2 linked regions of the Mytilus edulis genome follow. The protein of the gene in region 2 purifies or fractionates together with the protein of the main gene of each other region. This does not show direct contact. Links are inferred from orthologs where the notes say so. Each region holds a gene or a part of one and is shown on either strand. Other genes may lie near its edges.

Region 1 (10,094 bases), about 13 Mb from region 2:
TTTAATTTTCCCAGCATTAGGTTGGCCTTTTGTGTACCCAAGGCAGGTGAAGGAAGTCAAATTAGGAGCGCTGTGATTGGATGTAAGGGTACAATATATTTTTTATTTATCTATGAATAACTGCAGTGTGTATATTTACAATATAAATTTTAAAACCTATTGAAATATTTTCTAGAGAATTATTCGAAAAGACTTGCAAAATTTCATAAATTTGGTGCAAAATGACGGTGGGCATGGATAACATAAACAAGCTCCGTTGGAAGTTGGTCATGATACTATTTGGCTTTAATTTTTAAAACAGAATAATAAAGTACTAACACAACATATAACTGTTTTATCCAGGTTTTTATCTTAAAAAGTGGTAAATTTAGAAAATGTTAACATTGTCGCCTATGGCAGAATAAATAGTACCGTTTTCCCTAAATATAAAATCATTGTATTGTAGTGTACTAAGTATACGGAAAGGAAACGAGCGCTGTACGGAGATTGACGGTGAATATACAATTAAATTGTCGAAATTTTAAGGATACTTTTGGCTTTGAGAAGTATTTTTATATTTTAGAATTTTTTTATATTTATACTTTTTTTTTTTCGTTAACATCGACCAAAACTCCTTTCAGATTTTGGAAACGCTTCCTTTGAGATAAAAGTTACTAGCCCAGAAAACACATCCTTTCAGCTAAGTAATTAAAAAAAACATATACCAACGACTGTGGATTTATGCAACTCTGTTTAAACATTTTGATGTCCCGGGGCTTATAAAAGTCAAAACGATAGAACTCATATTAGCATTGATCAGCGTTATCACGGTTGCCTGATTTTATTTCCCCCATTTTTTGCTATAATTATGAAATCTTCAGCCGTTCAGGCGACTGTGCTTGTGGCAATATGTTGCAAAAATATTTTGATCTGTGTATAAAATTTTAATTGATAACATGTTTTTCCCGACTTCATTGCTTAATAAATCATATAGGGCCTACTAGTAAACAAACCTCGTGTGAATTGTCTTGTCTGTCAACCCGGGGTTTACAAAACTGCGTCCTATAATCAATATAAGCGACGTGATAACACCCACGCAAACATTTGACGTTCTAAGATGATTACAAATCCAGAGACATTGAAGGCATTGAAATTCCGTATTTTATTAAATGATCAGTGTCAAATCTGGATTTGAAATATAAGCTAAGCAAAAATATTTCAAGATTATGTCGAAAACATAGATAAACTGGTTCCTTGTGCTTCTTCAAAAGAGAACGAGTCGGTCAACAACATGTTGACAACAATGTTAGAAGCAAGAATAAAAGTCCAAATAATTATGACGTCTTGAAAGGCTATTATAATTTTTTTCTTTGACGTTAAGCTAGAAATGAAAATAATGTTCTAGAGAGAAGAGAAGGGGATACGTACAAAACAGAAATTGATATGGGGACGAAGTCCCCAATGACAGTAGAAAAATCAATAAAAAAAAAAAAAAAAAAAAAAATCGGGAAAATTTTCCCGAATTTTTCATTGTACTAATGAACTCAAAATCGTTCAATTTTTTTTTGTCGTGTTTTTTAATTTCCGGATCTGCGCAGAACGCAGAAATCTTCTTCCTTTTTCCGGTCTTGTTGTCGTGAGACTTTGATTAGTCTAGTAAAATATTGGAACTCAAGGAACACAATACCAATATTTCATTTTTAATCATTCTTTGTCTTTGATATGAATAAACGTTACCTGATGCATTGTGTTATTTTGTTTACATTGAACATGACGTCATAACTTAAATAACGTCACAAGTAAAATCCCTAACAACAGAACCAAAATCGGAAACGTTACGGTATTTCCGTTTCTTTTTTTCACAAATATTTTAAAAAGTTACAAAAAAAAATCATACAGACTTCGTCCCCATTCACAGGTAATGCCTGCCTCATATTATGCTTTGTCAAAACATGCAATTACAGACGTTATGTCCAATCCTTTGGTAATAGAAGAGCTTAATCCAGTCAAAAATATCCAGACCTGTATTCCATGTGTTTATTTCGACCTGGAAACATCTTCATTATCTCTGAACTGCACATGACATCTTTCAAATTTCAGCAGTAAATAATATACATGTATTTGATCAATATATTACCCCTTCTTCGGGGATACGTAAATATGCCTCTGAGGTAACTGAGTCGTCTATGTGTAACACCATATTGTGTTACAATGACCGTAAAGTCATTTCATGTTCACCACAAGAAAGTTTACAGAATTTTATTATTTGGTTACAAGAAAAGATACCAGAAAAATGCATGTTGATCGGACATAACGCAAAATGTTTCGATGTACCTGGATTAGTTCACTGTTTACAGAAATTTCAACTTTGCTCATCGTTTGAGGAAAAAATTCTTGGTTTCATTGATACACTCCCTTTTTTCCGATATCTGTATCCAGAATTGAAATCGCATAAAAAAGAAGTGCTTGTTTCTACCTTCTTAAAAAAAGAATTACAGTGCCCATAATGCATCCGCTGATGTACAAATGCTGAAAGAATTTGTTGAATTTACCAAATGTAGCATCACTGAGTTAAGTCCATACTCATTTGTCACCACTTCTTGCGCTCTATGCTTTAAACAAAACATAGTATCAAAGGCAAGACTATAGTTACATTAAAGTCTTTAACAGAGAGAAGCGTGATTTCGTCCGCAATGGCAAAAAAAATATCAGATAGTGCCGGTCTGGATTTATTTCAACTGCAATTGACTAAAAGGCGAGATACGGACAATGGCATTTGACTAGTGCTAGCTGAGAAGAATATAAACGGAAAACCTCGTGTTACTGCTTGCAAAAGAGTAGCTACATAAACAAAGATTTCAGAATACCTGAATTAAAACTAAACATTATCTTTTAAATTTTGGCTCTTGGCTCCTTGTTGTTTTGACAGTTGAAGGATAAACGCACCCAAATTGTCCTGGTCATTTACAGTACCTCAAAATGCACCTTGCTGATATAAAAATAAGAAGAGGTGGTATGATTACCGATGAGACAAATACATTTTTGATATTTTACTGAAGTGTTATAATTAAAGGTCACCACACGGCATTCAACAATGAGCAAAACCCCATACTGTACAGTAAACGATAGTTTTAGACAAAGTAGTGTAATAGCAAACCCTAAAAAATAACTGGGAAAAATCAGTTGAAAAGGGACGATTTTAAGATCGGCACAAAGCACTAAAATAATTATTACCAAAAAAAAACCAATTCCAGTCATGAGATATTAGTTCATCACATATATTACAAAATAACAACTGGAAACAATTACGACATGGACATACAAGCTGTGGTCGTCCCATTCACATAGAAAGTGGTGTAAAAGTACACCAAAATAACAAACTGTTGAAAAAGACGACTCTTTAGATCAGTACAAAGCAACAAAAAAATCATTTTTTTTTTTTTTTTTTTTTTTTAATAGATAAAAATGATATTAATATGAAAAAAAAAACATTGGTCTTTTTTCAAATTACTATATTTAACCTCCACATTACACCATAAAAAGGCGAGAAAATTGTTTATACCAAATTATCGATATCTCTTTTTGTTTTTCAGTTGATAAATATACGAATAATGTAGTTTCTGCAAACAATAAGGTTAACACAAGATGAAATTTTCAAGTGATTCGGACTTTTTATAAAATTTTACATGGCAAAGAACTTCAAGTCACGATTTTCAAATTCTTCGAAAAAGATGCCGTTCCAAATCGAAAACGAGGTCGGTGACCCCATTTTTTTTGTGTGGCTTATTTTGAAGCTTTAAACAGAGACATATATATGTCTCTGCTTTAAATATGCCAAAGTGTAAATAAAATTTAAAGAAGGTATTATTGGTAGAACTGAATAGAAAGATGTGTCTTTAAGTAAGTTTATGCATACCATTTAAGAATTTGACTTAACTAATGAAATTCTTAGTGAAATCTAAGTTTAAGGAATACTTAACATAGTCGGATCCAGGGGGGGGGGTCGCCGGGCCCCCCTTTCGTGGGAAAAATTTGGTTGATTATATAGGGAATCATAGAAGCATAACTGGAGCGCCCCCCCCCCCTTAGGTCAGTCAGCGGGCCCCCTTAGGAAAAGTTCTGGATCCGCCACTGCTTAAGTTAAGATGTTTTATACATACGGCCCCTGATCACTAATATTAGATTTTATCACTTAAATATAGTTTGAATCTTGATGGCAAATGCAAATAATAAACAGAAAGTAGGTTTCTGATATAAAGAGTCTATAAAGGGTGTTGCACATGATTTCATTTCTGTCAATCGATTAAGTTTAGTTTATGACTAATTCGGTTCCGATCAATGGGACAAATAGAATTAGTCACAACTTATATACTTTTACAAATTATTTAAATGGATTAATTAAGTAAATTTTTCGAAGACCCACACTGCATACATATAGGTTACAAATGTGTTGTGGGTTTTTGTTGAGCCTGTGACTTTTGTCCGCAGAAGCTGGACAGGGGTCCGACAGTTTTCACTTGACCTGGACCTCGTTTCAAGGATCAGTGAACAAGGTAACGTAGGTTTTGGTGGTCGTCCATATCATAGGTATTATAAGCATAGTGTATTTGGTGTATGGAAGGACTCTAAGGTGAACATGACCAACTGGTAGGTGACATCTGACCTTGACCTCATTTTCATGGTTCAGTGGTTATAAATAAGTTTTTGTGTTTTTTTTCTAATGCTACAACTGTATATGCAATAGGACAACTATGTTTCGTGTATGGAAATATTTAACGATGTAGTTGTCAGTCTCGCAGGTTTTTATTTGACCATGACCTCTTTTTCATGGCTTAATTTTTATTTTTTTGTCTGTTATTCTTGAAACAAAATCCATATATGCAAAAGGTCACTTACATTTGTTGTATGGAAGGATTGTAAGCTGTACATGTCTCACACTGCCTGGCATGGTTCATCTGACTTTTACCTCATTGTTCATTGGTCAATGTTAAGTTTTCTTTGTGAAGTCTGTTTCTTACAGAAACTATAAGCAATAGATCAACTATATTCAGTGTATTGAATGATTGTAAGGTGTACATATATTTCTTGATCAGTTTATTTGAACTTGCTTGACCTCATTTTCATGTTGAGGACTATTAACACAATATGAAAAATTAGTAAGTAAGGCGAGACATTTCAGAGTGTGCACTCTGCAATTGTTTAATATAAAGTAATATTTTCTTATTTATCAATATTCATAAATGTATTTTTAACATTAAAAAAAAACCAAAACAGGGAATAAATGATTCTTCAACAACTTGGAATGTATATTAGGATCTTGACGTGGATCTTTTATTTCTGTATTTCATAATTTTTATGCGATTTTTTTTTTCTTTTAAGAATAACTTTTATTCTGTAAAATACTCTTGAAGCACTTTAATTTTTTTTCTGTCTGTAATAAGAATTAAGCCGTTCTGTATGGTATATCATTAATTTCTGTAATCAATTAACTAATTCTTTCAATTTTCCAAGATTATTCTATGAACTTTTGCACCGAATTATTCTCTCATCTTTTCCTTGTTCCCTCACCCTTTGTATTCTCTTTTATAAATCCCAGCCATATCCTCGTTTATTGATTAAATACAAAACTAAATACGGAAACAAATCGGGTCCGCTGATACCGTTTTGTGATTTATAATCTCCACAAACCGGAAAATGGATTCTTTATTAAAATTGACAAGAAAAATGTAAAAGTTCTATTTAAATAAGACTCTTTGTTATTTTAACGATCTGTCCATTGCATTCTCGTTGATCAGTTTTTGATTTTGTAAACCGTCTGACTGGAAACATGCAAATGTCGCACCAGGCAGCATAGACTCATTCTCCGTCTATAGTAGTAGTAGAAGTATAACATTCTTGTAAAGAAATTATCCAGTCCTTATCAAGCTCCCCTTTTTTTCTGTGAAAAATTCGGTTCCTTATATAGGGAATCACTGAAGCATAACTGGAGCGGGCCCCCTCTTAGGCAGTCAGTCAGAGGCGGATTTAGGGGGGGGGGCCCTTTTTGGGAAAAAACTTTGAGTCTTATATAGGGAATCATTGAAGCATGACTGGAGCAGGGCCCCCTCTTAGGTCAGTCAGTGGGCCCCCACTTATGAAAATTTCTGGATCCACAACTGTCAGTGGGCCCCCACTTATGTAAATATCTGGATCCACCACTGTATCTTTATTAGGAAATCCCTCTTTCAAAGGGCACTTCGTAAAGAACAAGGTTTTGAGAAGTCTATATGTCTATATATACTTAGTTTGAAAATATAAGACATGAAAAATATAAATTTAGGCCCCGTGGGGTGTACTTTGGCTGCAGTTGTTGACCTTTGCGCTTGCTAGACGGGAAGGCCTTTTCAGAGTTCATTTCTCTAGTCTTTGGCATGTAAAGCATGTATAATTTTCTGGATATGTATTCTATTTATATATCCACTGATATCAAAACACCTACATGTAATTAATCATTTCGAAAATAGCAACCTATCACATGAATCCGGGTCTGTTCGCCCTAGTACCTGTTTGCCTAGTTGTTCAGCAGCTACTATTAGTCCTGATACCTTTTCACACAAGGTCCATTTACCATGATTTTTATTTTTTTCTTATCGTTGTCTAGTTATGTTTAAATTTGATCAGAATATGTTAAAGTTTGTTGAAAAAAAAGCAAAATATTTGTATTGCCGCAACCATTTTATTAGTTTCCCCTTGATTTACACAGTTAAATACTGGAATACAATGTATTTATCTTTAATGATTAAACAAATTGAAGTATGTCCAGTGCACAATGTTTTGTCAATATTGTCATTAATATCTCAAATTTACACAATGCCATTTTTAAAGTGTCGTTATTGTGTTTACATTGTATCCTATCTTTATGTTCTGTACCTTTGTGTTTTCATCATTATTTTATTGAGATAGATAGCCAGATGTGATTCATGGTATTTAAAATATGGTGAAATGATCAAATGCAATTTTAAAAACTTAAAGTTAAATATTTGCAGATATCACTTCCATGGCTGTATTTTTTTTTAAATTGACATGCTTTGCTTTGACATGTTGAATATGTAGCCCTTTGTGTTCTTTTTTTAGACTCTTAAATTTCAGTCAGATAATAGAATTTTGTATTTTATAGACCCTCAGGTTTACAAAGATCATACCAATGTAGAAGAAAACTGTTATCCCAGTCATGGAGGACAAGAAACTACAGTCAGACAAACACATCAATACAAACAATACAAACAGGTACCTAAAATGGCAGTACAATATACATTTTCACTATTTAATTACTGTGGATTCATAATTATTCCTTGGATACCAATTTTCCTGGATTTTGTTGACAAAGGTGAAACACAAATTCATATGTTCAAAGACTTGCAAATTTTCTAGAGGCTTTGAATGCAGAAACTAGCAAGGGGAAATTGAAATATCTACGGTAGTTTCTAAAAATAATAGCATCACATCCATAATATAATCTTTAAGACAATTTCAAATAGCACACATTTAAGATAATAGCATCACATTACCATGATGCTAAAAGGCTCTGGAGAGAACACTGCCCATGAAAATAAATGAATCCACGAAAATAATTGAATCCACAGTATAAGTTTTCCAAATGAAGAACTTACTTCTCAAATTTCCATTAATGATGAAAATTAATCCATACATTGGTTCATGTCTGTCGTATTTATTTTTACTAGTATTATTATAGATTAAGCCGTTAGTTTTCACAAATTGTTTAACTTTTTCATTTTTGGACTTTTATAGCTGACTTATGATACCGTATAGGTTTTTATCTTTGTCATTTGAAGTCATGTGGATAGTTGTCTCATTACCAACCTTTTACTTTAATTATAAACTCATCTTTGCATCTTTTATTCAATCTAATGGAAAACCAGAGTGCTTTTATTTTTGACAATATTCATTCTAAAAATTATTTTTGATTTATTAATATAGCAAGGAACAGACTGAAAGAATTAGTAGGAGCACAACTAAGTTGGGGGTAAGTTAAATACTAAGTTAAATACTAAAATTTATTAATAAAGCAAGGAACAGACTGAAAGAATTAGTAGGAGCACAACTAAGTTGGGGGTAAGTTAAATACTAACATTTATTTTTGTGGGTACCCGGTATATATTTTCGTTGATATTTGATTTCATGGTTTTGCCCAAGTCTGGATACAAGTCTTATGTTGTGCTATAATACCACTGTCACAGGTTAGGGATAGGTTGAACACTCACAACCATAGCTGAGGGCTTGGAGGGGTCCTTTATTTCTGCATACTTTATTTTTTACAGTCATTGTTTTCTTTTCTTTCTATATTTTGTCTATTATTTTATGTTCTTAATATTTCAGCATCCCATTTTTCTCTACTCTTATTTTTTTTTGCACATTTTTTTGTAGTAATGATCTAGAATTCTCTGTTCTGTAAAACCTACCCAGACCCTCAATGAGGGCCTCATGACTAAATCAGAAGACAGTACAGGGCTCACACTACTTCAGAATTATAGGGAGAAGTGACTTCTCTTTTTGAAACTGATAGGGAGAAGTGGTGAGATTTGAAAGAGAAGTGCTCATTCGCGCGGAGCGCTACAATGTTTGGATTTTACAATAGTATAAAGGGCCATATGTAAATAATGTTCTTTTTATGTTGTTCAATTCATATGAGTAAAAGATTACAATTAAAGTAACATTGAAATTAAAAGTTGTTTAAGTTTTACTAAGGTTCTTGTGAGAAACTACAAACTAAATATCTAGCACTAAAAAAAAAAAATTATTTTAAAAAATGTAAAGAAATTATAATATATCAATTACAATTTAATTAAAAATTATCTTGTGTATATAATTCAGTGTTTCTCATAAAAAATATAAAAGTTATTAAGCTGGGCCATAATATATTGATATTAGTATAATAGTCTCAGAGTTAAGCAACTTTAATCAATAGTTTGAAACAATCCATAAAAAATATAGGGAATTATATACACCAATCAATTAGATGTAACCAAAAGTCTCTTAATGCGTGTGGAATGCGTAATTTTCCCTTTTGTGATCAATATTATTCTGTCAGCTGTTCCATCCGTGCGTCCGTAGTAATTATTGTAAAAGTACGGATTTCGGTCATAGCTGGTCCGGTTCAGATCCGTAGTTTAGAAATCGGTCAATGGCGGACGAATGCAAGAAAATTTACAAAAATAAACGATGTTTGACAAGTTATTTGGAAAGGAACATGACGGTTTTAATGCAATAAATGGATTAAACATTTACTGGAGGCAACTTTTGTCACGTTTAAATGAAGTAACAAACTTATTTTGCCGCCGAAATTTAGGTTGATGTACGTTTTCGAGTAACAAGCACCGGAACTTGCAGAAATGCAAGAAGTGATAAAAAGTTGTTTTTTTTATCAAATAACCTGCTACACACTACGAAGATAATGCTTCAACCTCTTTTCTAAAGATAATGAATCGTTTATGTCTTAATTTCTTTAATTATCAGTAAAAAATTAATGTTTCATCAACTTGGTAAAAATTGAAAATGTCCGATGACGGAAGCGACTGAAAGCGACTATCGTCAAGAACAGGGCGACTTGTTTTCGCTTTTGGGGGTCGGGGAAAGCGAAGTGACGGTCGGGAAGGCGACTTCTTCGCCCAAGTCGCCTGGTAGCGTGAGCCCTGCAGTACAAATAATTAAACTCCTGGCTTAGAAATAAGGTCCCTTTTTATGCCCCACTAGTAGAGGGGCATTATGTTTTTTGGTCTGTGTTCCAGTTTGTCTAATCGTCTGTCTGACCCACTTCAGGTTAAAGTTTTTGGTCAAGGAAGTTTTTGATGAAGTTGAAGTCTAATCAACTTAAAATTTAGTACACATGTTCCCTATGATATGCTCTTTCTAATTTTAATGCCAAATTAGAGTTTTTCCCTAATATCAGGGTCCAATGAACAAAGACAATGATAGTGCGGATGGGGCATCTTTGTATTATGGACACATTCTTGTTTCAATTAGGTCACAGACGAAAGATGTCTCGTTTTCTAGTAAATTTAGATTTTCCAATGCACGGATTTTAATCTTGCAGAATAAAAACTATCAAGGTTATTTTG
Region 2 (10,385 bases):
CCTTTTATGCAAATGTTTCACCTTTTGCTGCAGCATTTCCACCTGCCCAGCCTCCTGCTACACACAAAACAGCATCTAACTTATCACTTCCGACAATACCATCAACAGCTTTAACAACTTCATCTTCCTGTTGAGTCCATGAGTCACATGGTTTAACTATAACATTGGCATCAGCCTGTTCATTTGGCATCAAATCAATGGATCCAACCCACTACAAATAAAGAAAATGTATAATCCTATGTTATAATACCTTGCTTAACAACATACAGCAGATAACAAACACTCTTCTTTTGTTTATTTTTTTTTTTTTTGGGGGGGGGGAAGAGTGGTCTCCCCCTATAACTGGTGTGTTGGCTGGTGTGTAACATTCACATATTTTACATGTTACAAAACTTACCATGAAACATGTGAAAAGAGAACTTTTAGATTTGAAATAAGCAAAAATTACTTTCCTTGACAATATAAATCTGGTTTACACCAATGCATAGAACCCATATAAAAGTATCAGTAAACAGAAGAAAAAAATCTAAAATAAACATATTTCTCCTGTTTTATAATAGAGCTTGAACACAAGAATTAGGGAGTAAGTACATCAAAAGCAGGTCATGATCATTTTGCAAGCAACGAAAATAACTTGCTTAAAATCATAATTTTATAGTAGCTTAAAATCATAATTTTAATTTTATAGTTAGATTAATCAGTGTCTTCATGATCACAGTTCCATAATGACTGCAGTGCTGATCATCAGTATTAAAAAAATTAATTCGTGAAATAACTCGTGCAATATAGCATTATATTTTTTCAACTGCTTGCTCAACATGGAAAGGATGTTCACTAAAACCATTTTTTTCACAGAAATGCAATTTATGTTATCAAAATACATCAATTATGCTATTTAGTTCATGTTGATGATGATTTTCATTTACAAAACCTTCTTTTAGACCTATTACTATTATGATTCCACCTCAAGGGCAAAAGTATAGGACTCAGGGGCAAAAGTGCCCATCTTTCAGAGCAACAACTAACGTATATGTAACAATCAGTTCAGAGCAGTTGCTGGTTTCAATGTCATTTATCAACTTCTGATTTTTGTTTCAGTTGAATTTAGGAATTGCTGATCATGATGCACTCTTTTTAGTCTAACTTAAAGGACTAATTTAATTTTGATTTTTAGAACAAGTTACAGATGACATCAATATTTTTGACTCTTACTGAAAAATCGTAAGCATTGCAGCATTGGCAAGGTACACGACAATAATGTGAAAGTTGTATCTGAATGTGAGGTACAAGGAGCCAAGTAAAATAAACTGACTAACATATGGCATGCAGGTACATGTATCCCCTATCATACCTTATTGAAAAAAACTATGCAGGAAGATTCAAGACCTAAAAAAACATATTTCAGACAAAATATACATTATAAATATAAAGGCAGCTGACAGACTACTTTCTTGTGAACTATACACTTTGATTTGCGAATTGTTTCAACAGACCCAGATTCAATATTTTTTCAAGAAGCCGGACAAGTGTCCTCATCGTAAATTCGCCTTATATTCGGTCAACATAACATAGCTGCAATATCTTACATAGTTTTTAGCCTTGAAATGGCTAACACAAACTGATCCTAGGGCTCCTTTACCACCATATACTAATATTTTACCAGCAAGTGCCATGATTTCCTACTTTCACTTTCTTAGAAAATGTATTAACTCCCTTTAACAAAAGTCTCTAAAATGTGAACTACGCCCCGTGCTCATCCTATAAAATTCGCCAGACTGGGATTTCATAAAATACCTTTTTGATCATGGGAACAAACTAGTAATAAATGCTTGCGGAAAAGAAACAATTGTATGAAATTGAGGTAAACATAATGTTATTTCTACCTGTACACTGCCCCTCCACATATTTAGCAAGTTTAGCTTGAACTTCCTTTCTCTGAATTCCCTAGCCTATTTTTGCTTGACAAAGTTTATTTGCTTTTTTCACGGGGGTTTGTATTTTTCTCATCTGTTAAAAAAAATCCAATCAGGCCATTGTATGATCTTATATCATAAAGTTTGGTTTATGTATTGCATGGCTCCGTCAAAAACTCAGAGCATTTACAAAGATCACCTCAAAGTTCAACATGTTGAATAACAAATAGGTTAGAATGTCACTTTTTAAAACTTGTAATAATTGAGTGTTTGCTCTTAAGTAAATATAGAGAAATATATTTACTTTGACTTTAAAAAACTGCAATACGCCGATTTAAAAAAAAATTATAATGCGTAAAATAGTTTTGGGATCACAATAGAGATAAATGAGACTGAAATTTTAGCGATATTTACTCTAAAATTCTTTAATTTTACTTTACAATTTTCCGGCAGCTATACCAAGCTTGTTGTTTCAAAAGATAAATAGAAAAAAGTAAAATAAAAAAAATACTGAACTACGAGGAATATTCAAAACGGAAAGTCCCTAGGCTAATCAAATGGTAAAATTTAAATCACCAACACATCAAACGAACGGATAATTAACAACTGTCATATTCGTAACGTGGTACAGACATTTTCTTATATAGAAAATATATATTTCTATTATATTTATTAACAAAAGTAGATGCTCTCAATGATTAAAATTCTTGATATAATGCATCTCTTCCCGGTATTTCACATTTTGACATCGCCTCCTAAAAAAAATATTTTACGTGAGCAAAGTTCGTATACCTCACCTCCAACGTAACTGTATTCGTCATATGATTATCATATGCCCGCCAAACAAAAATTATAAAAAAAAACCCCAATGAAAGCTCACACGATGGAAAATGCTCAATGTGTTGTCGTGTATATGGTAAATAGGCTAGAAATAACCGAATATCAATATGGACAATAACAACAGTCAATGAAAGAACATGACAGCGCATTCACACGTGTATCTATCGATCACACAGTAAGATAACTCTGTCAAGAAGGGAAAAAAAAGAAAGAAAAAAAAAACGATTTTAAAAACAAGATGCATGCTTTCTTTAAAATAGAAAAAAAAAAAAAAACGGATGCCGTCCCAGAACCTAAAACACTACATATTTGAACGGTTACCAGTTTGCCGTGTAGTTTGATGCTTAAATATTTTAATCATTTCAGTAGAGATGTATTTACATCGATAATTGGTAGTTTATAGACAGGGTAACAGTGAGAGATGACCAAAACTAAGTAAACATATGTACCCTTTTCGGACTATAAAGGTCAAATTAAAAAGTGGCCGGACTACGAATTCATATTATTGACGTGCACGTCAATATATACCAGTGATGTTTTGTAAAGCTTATTTTGACAAATAGGACCACATTGACTGCTTGACAGTGAACCTTTATTTCTTTATTACGCTTTTATAAATGTATGAAACCAAAACAAAAACATTTTCTAATGAATTATTTTGTTGAATTCGTGGCTATATTTTCCTTCTTCTTCTTTCGTTAATCAGCAACGGAAAATATACCATCACGCTGATGCTGTGTCATCAAGTGCAGGTGCTGTACAAGTTGTGATCAACCAAATCGGGAAAAAAAAATAACTAGATACAAGTTTAAAATTGTGGTTGGTGCAGGATAAAAAAAAGGATGATCTTTACCAGGGGCGGATGCAGGAATTTTCGAAAGGGGGGGGGTGCTAACCCAGGGCAAAGGGGGGGTGCAGGGGGGGTGCAAAACATATGTCCCGATACAAATGCATTGATCGGCAAAAATAAAGGGGGGTGCGCACCCCCGGAACCCCCCCCCCCCCTGGATCCGCCACTGTTTACAGCATCACTGTGTCTCTGGTCTCAGGATGGAAGTGTGACCAGAGGTTTTCCTTAAAAGTGTCCGAGTCAATGTCAGTTGCGATGTTTCCTGGTAGATGATTCCAGTCTCGGATTGTTTTCGGGTCCTTTAAAAGCTAAATGATTTTTAGCAAACTCCAAATGTTTTACAAAATGTAAAATGCACAATAAAAGTGAGGCAACAATTAAGATAACAAGTTGATAAAAAAAAATACTAAGTTGTTATAGTTCGTTCAGTCTTATGTTGTACTGTTACACCACTGTCCTAGGTTAGGGGGAGGGTTTGTATCCCGCTAACATGTTTAACTCGCCACATTCTGTATGTAAGTGCCTGCCCCAAGTTAAGAGCTTGTTATTCAGTTGTTGTCGTTTGTTGATGTGTTACATATTTGTTTTTCGTTCATTTTTTTAACATAAATTAGGCCGTAAATTTTCTCGTTTGAATTGTTTTACATTTGTCATTTCGAGGGCTTTTATAGCTGAATGTGTGGTATGGGCTGTGCTCATTGTTGAAGGCCGTACGGTGACCGATAGCTGTTAATTTCTGTGTTATTTGGTCTCACATATCACATTCTTCTTCATATTATGTTTTATTAACCCCACCGCATGTTTGCGCCTGTCCCAAGTCAGGAGCGTCTATCTGGCCTTTACTAATTGTTTGTGTTGTATTTTTTTTTAAATTTTAGTTCAGTTATATGTTTTAGAGTTGAGTATGACGTCCATTTCCTCTGAACTAGTACACATTTTTATTAAAGGGTCAACTGGGTCCACCTCCGGTGCGGGATTTTCTCGCTGTGTTGAATACCCATTGGTGGCCTTGAAGGCTTCAGCTGTTATCTGCTCTATATAGTCGGTTTGTTTTCTCTTTGACATGTTCCCCGGGCCATTTCCATTCTCAATTTTATTCTTGAGTTATAGGCATACAAAATAGCTGTGAACTAGTGATAATAATGATGAAGAACGGCAATATAAAGGCGCTGGTCCTCAAGTTAAATTGCTTTGTATGATTGTGTGTTTTGCTGAGCATATACTGATTTTGTGTCATGGATGGATACCCCATATACCTGGGTTTTTCCCTTTTTAAGTGTTCTCTCAAAGGCGTCTGTTCCCAGCTCAAAGAACAACCAGAAATATACATCGTTGGCTACTGAGATATTAATAAAATAATAATTTCAGAACAGCTCTTCATTTGCGCAATGAATAACAGGTATTTGATTAGTTATAAAAAGATTTCGATTGAGTTTTTGTAAAGAAAATACCCGAATAAGTTTTAACAGAGAGAGCAAAGGCATGTTTCTATCTTATTCATATGGACACATATGGATAGTCGACTTTTCCCGCATGGTATGATATAATTAGGACTGAAACAAGTGCCTGTGACCAGGGACTTTCTATACTAACAGAATAGAAAGTCCCTGCTGTGATTGAGACTGAGTTGGGTAGAAATTCACCTGCACTGAATATCGAACCTCTAATTATACCATTTATTATTTATTTCTTTGTATTACAACTTTCAAAGTAAAAGACAAACGTAGTAGAAATCTACATAAACTAAAGTGAAACAGGTGTTTTATAACGTCCGTTGCTGTTTTAGTTATATGTTATTTATTTTGCAATTTTTGTTGAACTGTACTGTGAATAATTCTGAAAAAAATCTTTTAATGTTATTTAAATATATAGAGCACGATTAAACAATATTTTGTTATTCATCAATGGTGTGAAATTTAAAAAAAAAATCTTTTAGAAAACTCTCGTATTTCTAAATTTCTTCCCGTGAAATTACGTGACGTCATCATGGTTCCCATTTGCCAAGAATGTAACCTTGGATTTTCCTAAATTAATCTTTAACATACGCTAATTTACATGCCAGAAGAATTGACAGTAAATCCTTCTTTATCTCTACCTTTAGCAGGATATCTTTTCTTTAAGATAAAAGCTTTATTTCCGAAATGTCGAGGCATGAGGGTGAGTTCATAAATTTGTCGACAAAATGGCCACCAATAATATTCAGCGTAATATAAAAACTGTCATCTTTCTGATAAGAAATAGTACCCATTGAGAGTAATATTTTCACTGTTGCACTTCATGCTTCAGTGTATGATTTATATGTTGGGTATTGACAGATAGCAGTTGTCGTTGTCAGCACGAGACAGTTTCCAGGAAGTTGTTTTCACTTCACTTCCAAGACATTATTGCTTGCATAAGATGAACGTTATGTGGGCAACAAATGAGAGGGACAATCTCGCCATCTCAATTGGTAATATGTGATAGAAATATGTACTGAAAAATTACCATAAAATGAAATAAGTCTTGATCTAAACCAAGGCTCTTATACATCAACTCTTCACTCCAATTTTAGATATATATGATGGTGTTTATCTTTAAAATTATCCACCAAGAAACAAAGAGGGAGGAATATTATTTACAGTAATCATATCTCAATTACAGTCACAAATATATCATTTATGAAAATGGTGAACGTTTAAGAGTCCATTATTTTTATTTATAAAAATAAAATTGACATCATTTCAAAAGACTTTCCTGCAACAGAGAAGTCAGGACGTCTTTCCTATAAACTCCTCTCAGTTATCAGGGTTCTTCATTTAGACCAGTAAAACAATGTCAGAGGACCACTGGATTAGATTAGTTTTGATATTTAAATTAAAATGCACTTTGAAAGTGGAAAAAAAGAATTTTTGGTTTACACTTGGCAACAAAATTTGTTATAAGACATATCAAGAGACTACATTACAAGAATCTTCATCAGCAATTTGGTAAATAGTAAAAAAAAATACGGGTGCCACATGTGGAGCAGGATCTGCTTACCCTTCCGGAGCATCTGAGATCACCCCTAGTTTTTTGGTGGGGTTCGTGTTGTTTATTCTTTAGTTTTCTATGTTGTGTCATGTTTACTATTGTTTTTCTGTTTGTCTTTTTCATTTTTAGCCATGGCGTTGTCAGTTTTTTTTTGATTTATGAGTTTGACTGTCCCTTTGGTATCTTTCGTCCCTCTTTTTTTTGTACCAGAGTTTGATCAGGTGAGTGATACAGAATGAGAGGACCTGCTGGGGAAGTTAGACATCAAATTGCCTCTCAAAACATTTGTTGATGACTTGAATGTAAAGAAAACATTACAAAACCCCAACCAAACCTTGTTTCTTACTTGATATTGTCATAGATTCATTTTCAAGTGTATAAATCAAACATTCAAACCCTGGTTTTTGTTTTATGTTCCTTCGATTATATATCAACAAGTTCTCAAATCATGCAAGTGTTATTTGATTCCAGTGCATTCAATTTTTGATGTAAATTTATGCATACATGTACATGTACATGTATGATACCTTCAGTGACCCAATTAATAACTCAACTTATCAAGGTAAGCCTCTTCATCAAATCTGTCATATCCAGACAAATTTGACAAAGTCATATATAAATGTCAGCCTTTTTGCATAAAATAGCTCTCATGATTACAATTAATCTGTGTGAGAAAATAACACAAGAACGAGTTATCTTGTTCTAACTTATAGTATGTTGCTGAAAATGGAAAGTTGGTGGAAATAAAGGTTTCGTACTACATTTGTAACTGATTTTAAGTTTTAAAAAATGGTGTCAAATTAAACATAAGAGCAATCTCTGACTGATGTTTGATATTAATTATATAATTTATCTATGAACGACATTAAACAGGGCTAGCACTGCTACTGACCTAAGGGGGAAAATAGAAAATACAATATGTACTGAAATATTGGGTTAGTGATGGAATTATTGGGTGCAATTCTAAAATATAATGTTGATGGAAAAAAAATTAACCTATGAATATTAGATACATGTATACATCAGGGCTTCCAAAACGGTCATATATTCTGGACAATTGTATAATGTCCGTTAAAAGACTGGCTGGGCAAAGCATGAAACGGTCATCTACTTTTTAGTTTTCAAGGCTTTTTCAGTCATTTTAACATAATTCACGATCTTTTTGACCCAACCTTTTGCCTTTAACTGACATCCACACATTTCTGATCATAAAAGTTACATGATGATTAATTACTATCAAAACAACCCCTACTTCAATACTTTCAAATTTTAATCAACATGATCAAGGCAAGTTAGTTGTTGGACAGCTGAAATCTACCGTTCAGGTGACAGGTAAACTATTTTCAGTACCGGACATCGGTGGACATCATATAAATTGATCTGTCTATTCACAATTATTACTTAGGCTTAAATTAAAATATTGTTTGTTTGCCCTTTACTGACCGACCCTATCAATTCGTTCCGCCTGAAAATCTTTTATTTGTATTTACCAGCAAGATTTTATTTTATTTTATTTTTTCGTTCCTACCAAAAATCTTATATTTGTATTTCCTGCTCAAAACTTTTTTACCGGAATTCTCGGGTTTTATCTTTACGTATAAGGTCCAGTCCGTTTGGTATCACCTGAGCGTTTGACATGAACACTTGCAATTGAAGTTTCAAAGCATTTGTTTGAAATCGATGTTGAACGCTTTCTGAAATCATATAATGAAGTACGTTACTCTGTACCTTTAAACTTAAAGAGCAGGGTTCATTTACAAAAAAGTTCGTTTGATACAAAAGTATTAACGTGTGTACAAACTAATTTGTAAACGGACGTTGTATTCTATGTAGGGATGGCCTTTTGTGATCCGCATATATCAGAATGATTATGTTAACGATGCCGCTAAATTATTTATATCTGACATGAACCAAAAGTGACAAAACCCTGTAAAGTGGAGAATATCTGGCAGTAAAATCGCCAAGTTTTCCATACAGATCATTTATAAATGTGATGCAAAATACGTGACAATTGAGTTTTAATTCTTATAGCATTTTTATTGGAAAAAAAGGCACACACGAAATTTGTAACACTCTACGGACTTTTTCTACTAGTAATATATGTCTGCCCGGACATTATCTTACCAGTACAAAGTTATCTCTTTTATATTTTTTTTCAAAACTAATAGTTCCAGCGGAAAACTTATTTGCAAAAACAAAACGGACAAAAAAATGACATTATGCAGATTTCGTATCTATAAAATAAAATATTTTACCTACCTGCCTACCCATGACAAATAATATACCGAGCCAAGTTATTTTTTTGGGGAAAAAAATTAAATATTTTACCTACCTACCTACCCTGTTTCAAAACATAGGGTCGGAAAAGGGCAAACAAACAATATTTTAATTTAGGCCTTACATTTCAACGGTTTGTATGTACATGTACACAATGTAATTGATATAGTCTAAAAGATTAAATTATAAGAAATACGTTAATAAACATGATTTGATGAAAAATTTAATGAGGTTTTAAATGAAAAATCGTCAGAACTACGTTGTATGAACTAGAACTTGTGTGCGCATGTGCTTAGGTGGGGAATTTAATTACACATCCTATATTTCTTCAAAAATGCTAAAATTATCATTGATTACTGTATCTAACATTCATTTCAAGTATTTTGTTGAAGAAATAACGTGGAAAGAGCTTCTTCACTCAGTCGTGCTTTGTAAATCGTACACAGATTTTACGTATCCATTTATGGTTCATGTTTTACCATTGTCAAGTTAAGTCAACATCCGGTTTTAGAAAAATGTGATTTTAAAAAACAAATGTAAAGTTTTTGACAATGTCATTTTGCACAATTAAAGAGTATGGCAAATATGAGCACGCTGATGTGCACACTTTGAATGATGCACTGCCAATTTAACTTTACGTCAGAACATCAAATTCATATCAAAGTATCGGTTTTTTTTTTAATGTAATGTCAATCATTGGGATGGCTATCTGATTACCATAATTGTCTTTTGTGACTTATTCTTAGCGATTAAAATCGGGATCAGATATTAAATGTCTGGCTGGCTTAAATATTTTTGGAAGCCCTGGTTTACATACATATATGTTTCATTGAATTATTTTAACAATCTTGAAAGTTCATATACATGTAGCTATCAGCATGATCAGTCATACCAAAAAAAACCTGCTTTTAACTGATCATTATATAATTATTATTCACATGCAAGATATATAGATGCTGTACATTATTATTTATTTAATATTAAGTAAGTTGCTATATAATATTTATAGTAATAATAATATACTTTAACTTTCAATGATTTTCAGGTGTAAGCTGTGATTCCTGTTTGAAAGGGAACTTTAAAGGGAGGAGATACAAGTGTTTAATTTGTTATGATTATGACCTGTGTTCTACATGTTATGAATCAGGAGCCACAACTTCAAGACACACTGCAGATCACCCAATGCAGTGTATACTTACAAGAAATGATTTTGGTAAGAAGTGTTTGTTATCATTGAAAATAAAGAGAAATATAGGATATACAGATCATTGAGACAGCAACTTGAATACATATTTAAACTAAAAAGACAATTAAAGCAAGGAATTCATTGAATTCTGGAAAATTTATAATATCAGAAATGTGATACATTGGGCCAAAAATAGATAATTGTTTGTTTCCCCAAACCTGACCCTATCAAGTCAGGTGTGGGTAGGTAGGTAGGTAAATTTTATTTTTTTGGTAAATTTGTTTTTTTTGGTACTTGCGGTTAAATTGTA

The links. The genes of interacting proteins can lie anywhere in the genome.
Region 1: the proteins of E3 ubiquitin-protein ligase KCMF1-like (region 2) and acyl-coenzyme A thioesterase 9, mitochondrial-like purify together in Homo sapiens (affinity purification with mass spectrometry; 3 studies listed by BioGRID and IntAct, with this or other methods). This does not show direct contact. The link is inferred for Mytilus edulis from reciprocal best matches to the Homo sapiens genes KCMF1 and ACOT9.

Annotation. Positions count from the first base shown.
Region 1 is NC_092347.1:66,324,890-66,334,983, forward strand, and holds the start of acyl-coenzyme A thioesterase 9, mitochondrial-like, read left to right. Parts: upstream 1-5,634; 5' UTR 5,635-5,673; coding exon 5,674-5,705; intron 5,706-7,135; coding exon 7,136-7,245; intron 7,246-7,956; coding exon of another isoform or gene 7,957-8,002; intron 8,003-8,045; coding exon 8,046-8,091; intron 8,092-10,094. UniProt on the Homo sapiens protein: Mitochondrial acyl-CoA thioesterase. Catalyzes the hydrolysis of acyl-CoAs into free fatty acids and coenzyme A (CoA), regulating their respective intracellular levels. Regulates both mitochondrial lipid and amino acid metabolism.
Region 2 is NC_092347.1:79,329,252-79,339,636, forward strand, and holds the start of E3 ubiquitin-protein ligase KCMF1-like, read left to right. Parts: upstream 1-5,560; 5' UTR 5,561-5,744; coding exon 5,745-5,760; intron 5,761-9,934; coding exon 9,935-10,102; intron 10,103-10,385. Other genes in the region: dihydropteridine reductase-like, read right to left, coding at 22-211, 1,587-1,673. UniProt on the Homo sapiens protein: E3 ubiquitin-protein ligase which accepts ubiquitin from an E2 ubiquitin-conjugating enzyme and then transfers it to targeted substrates, promoting their degradation by the proteasome.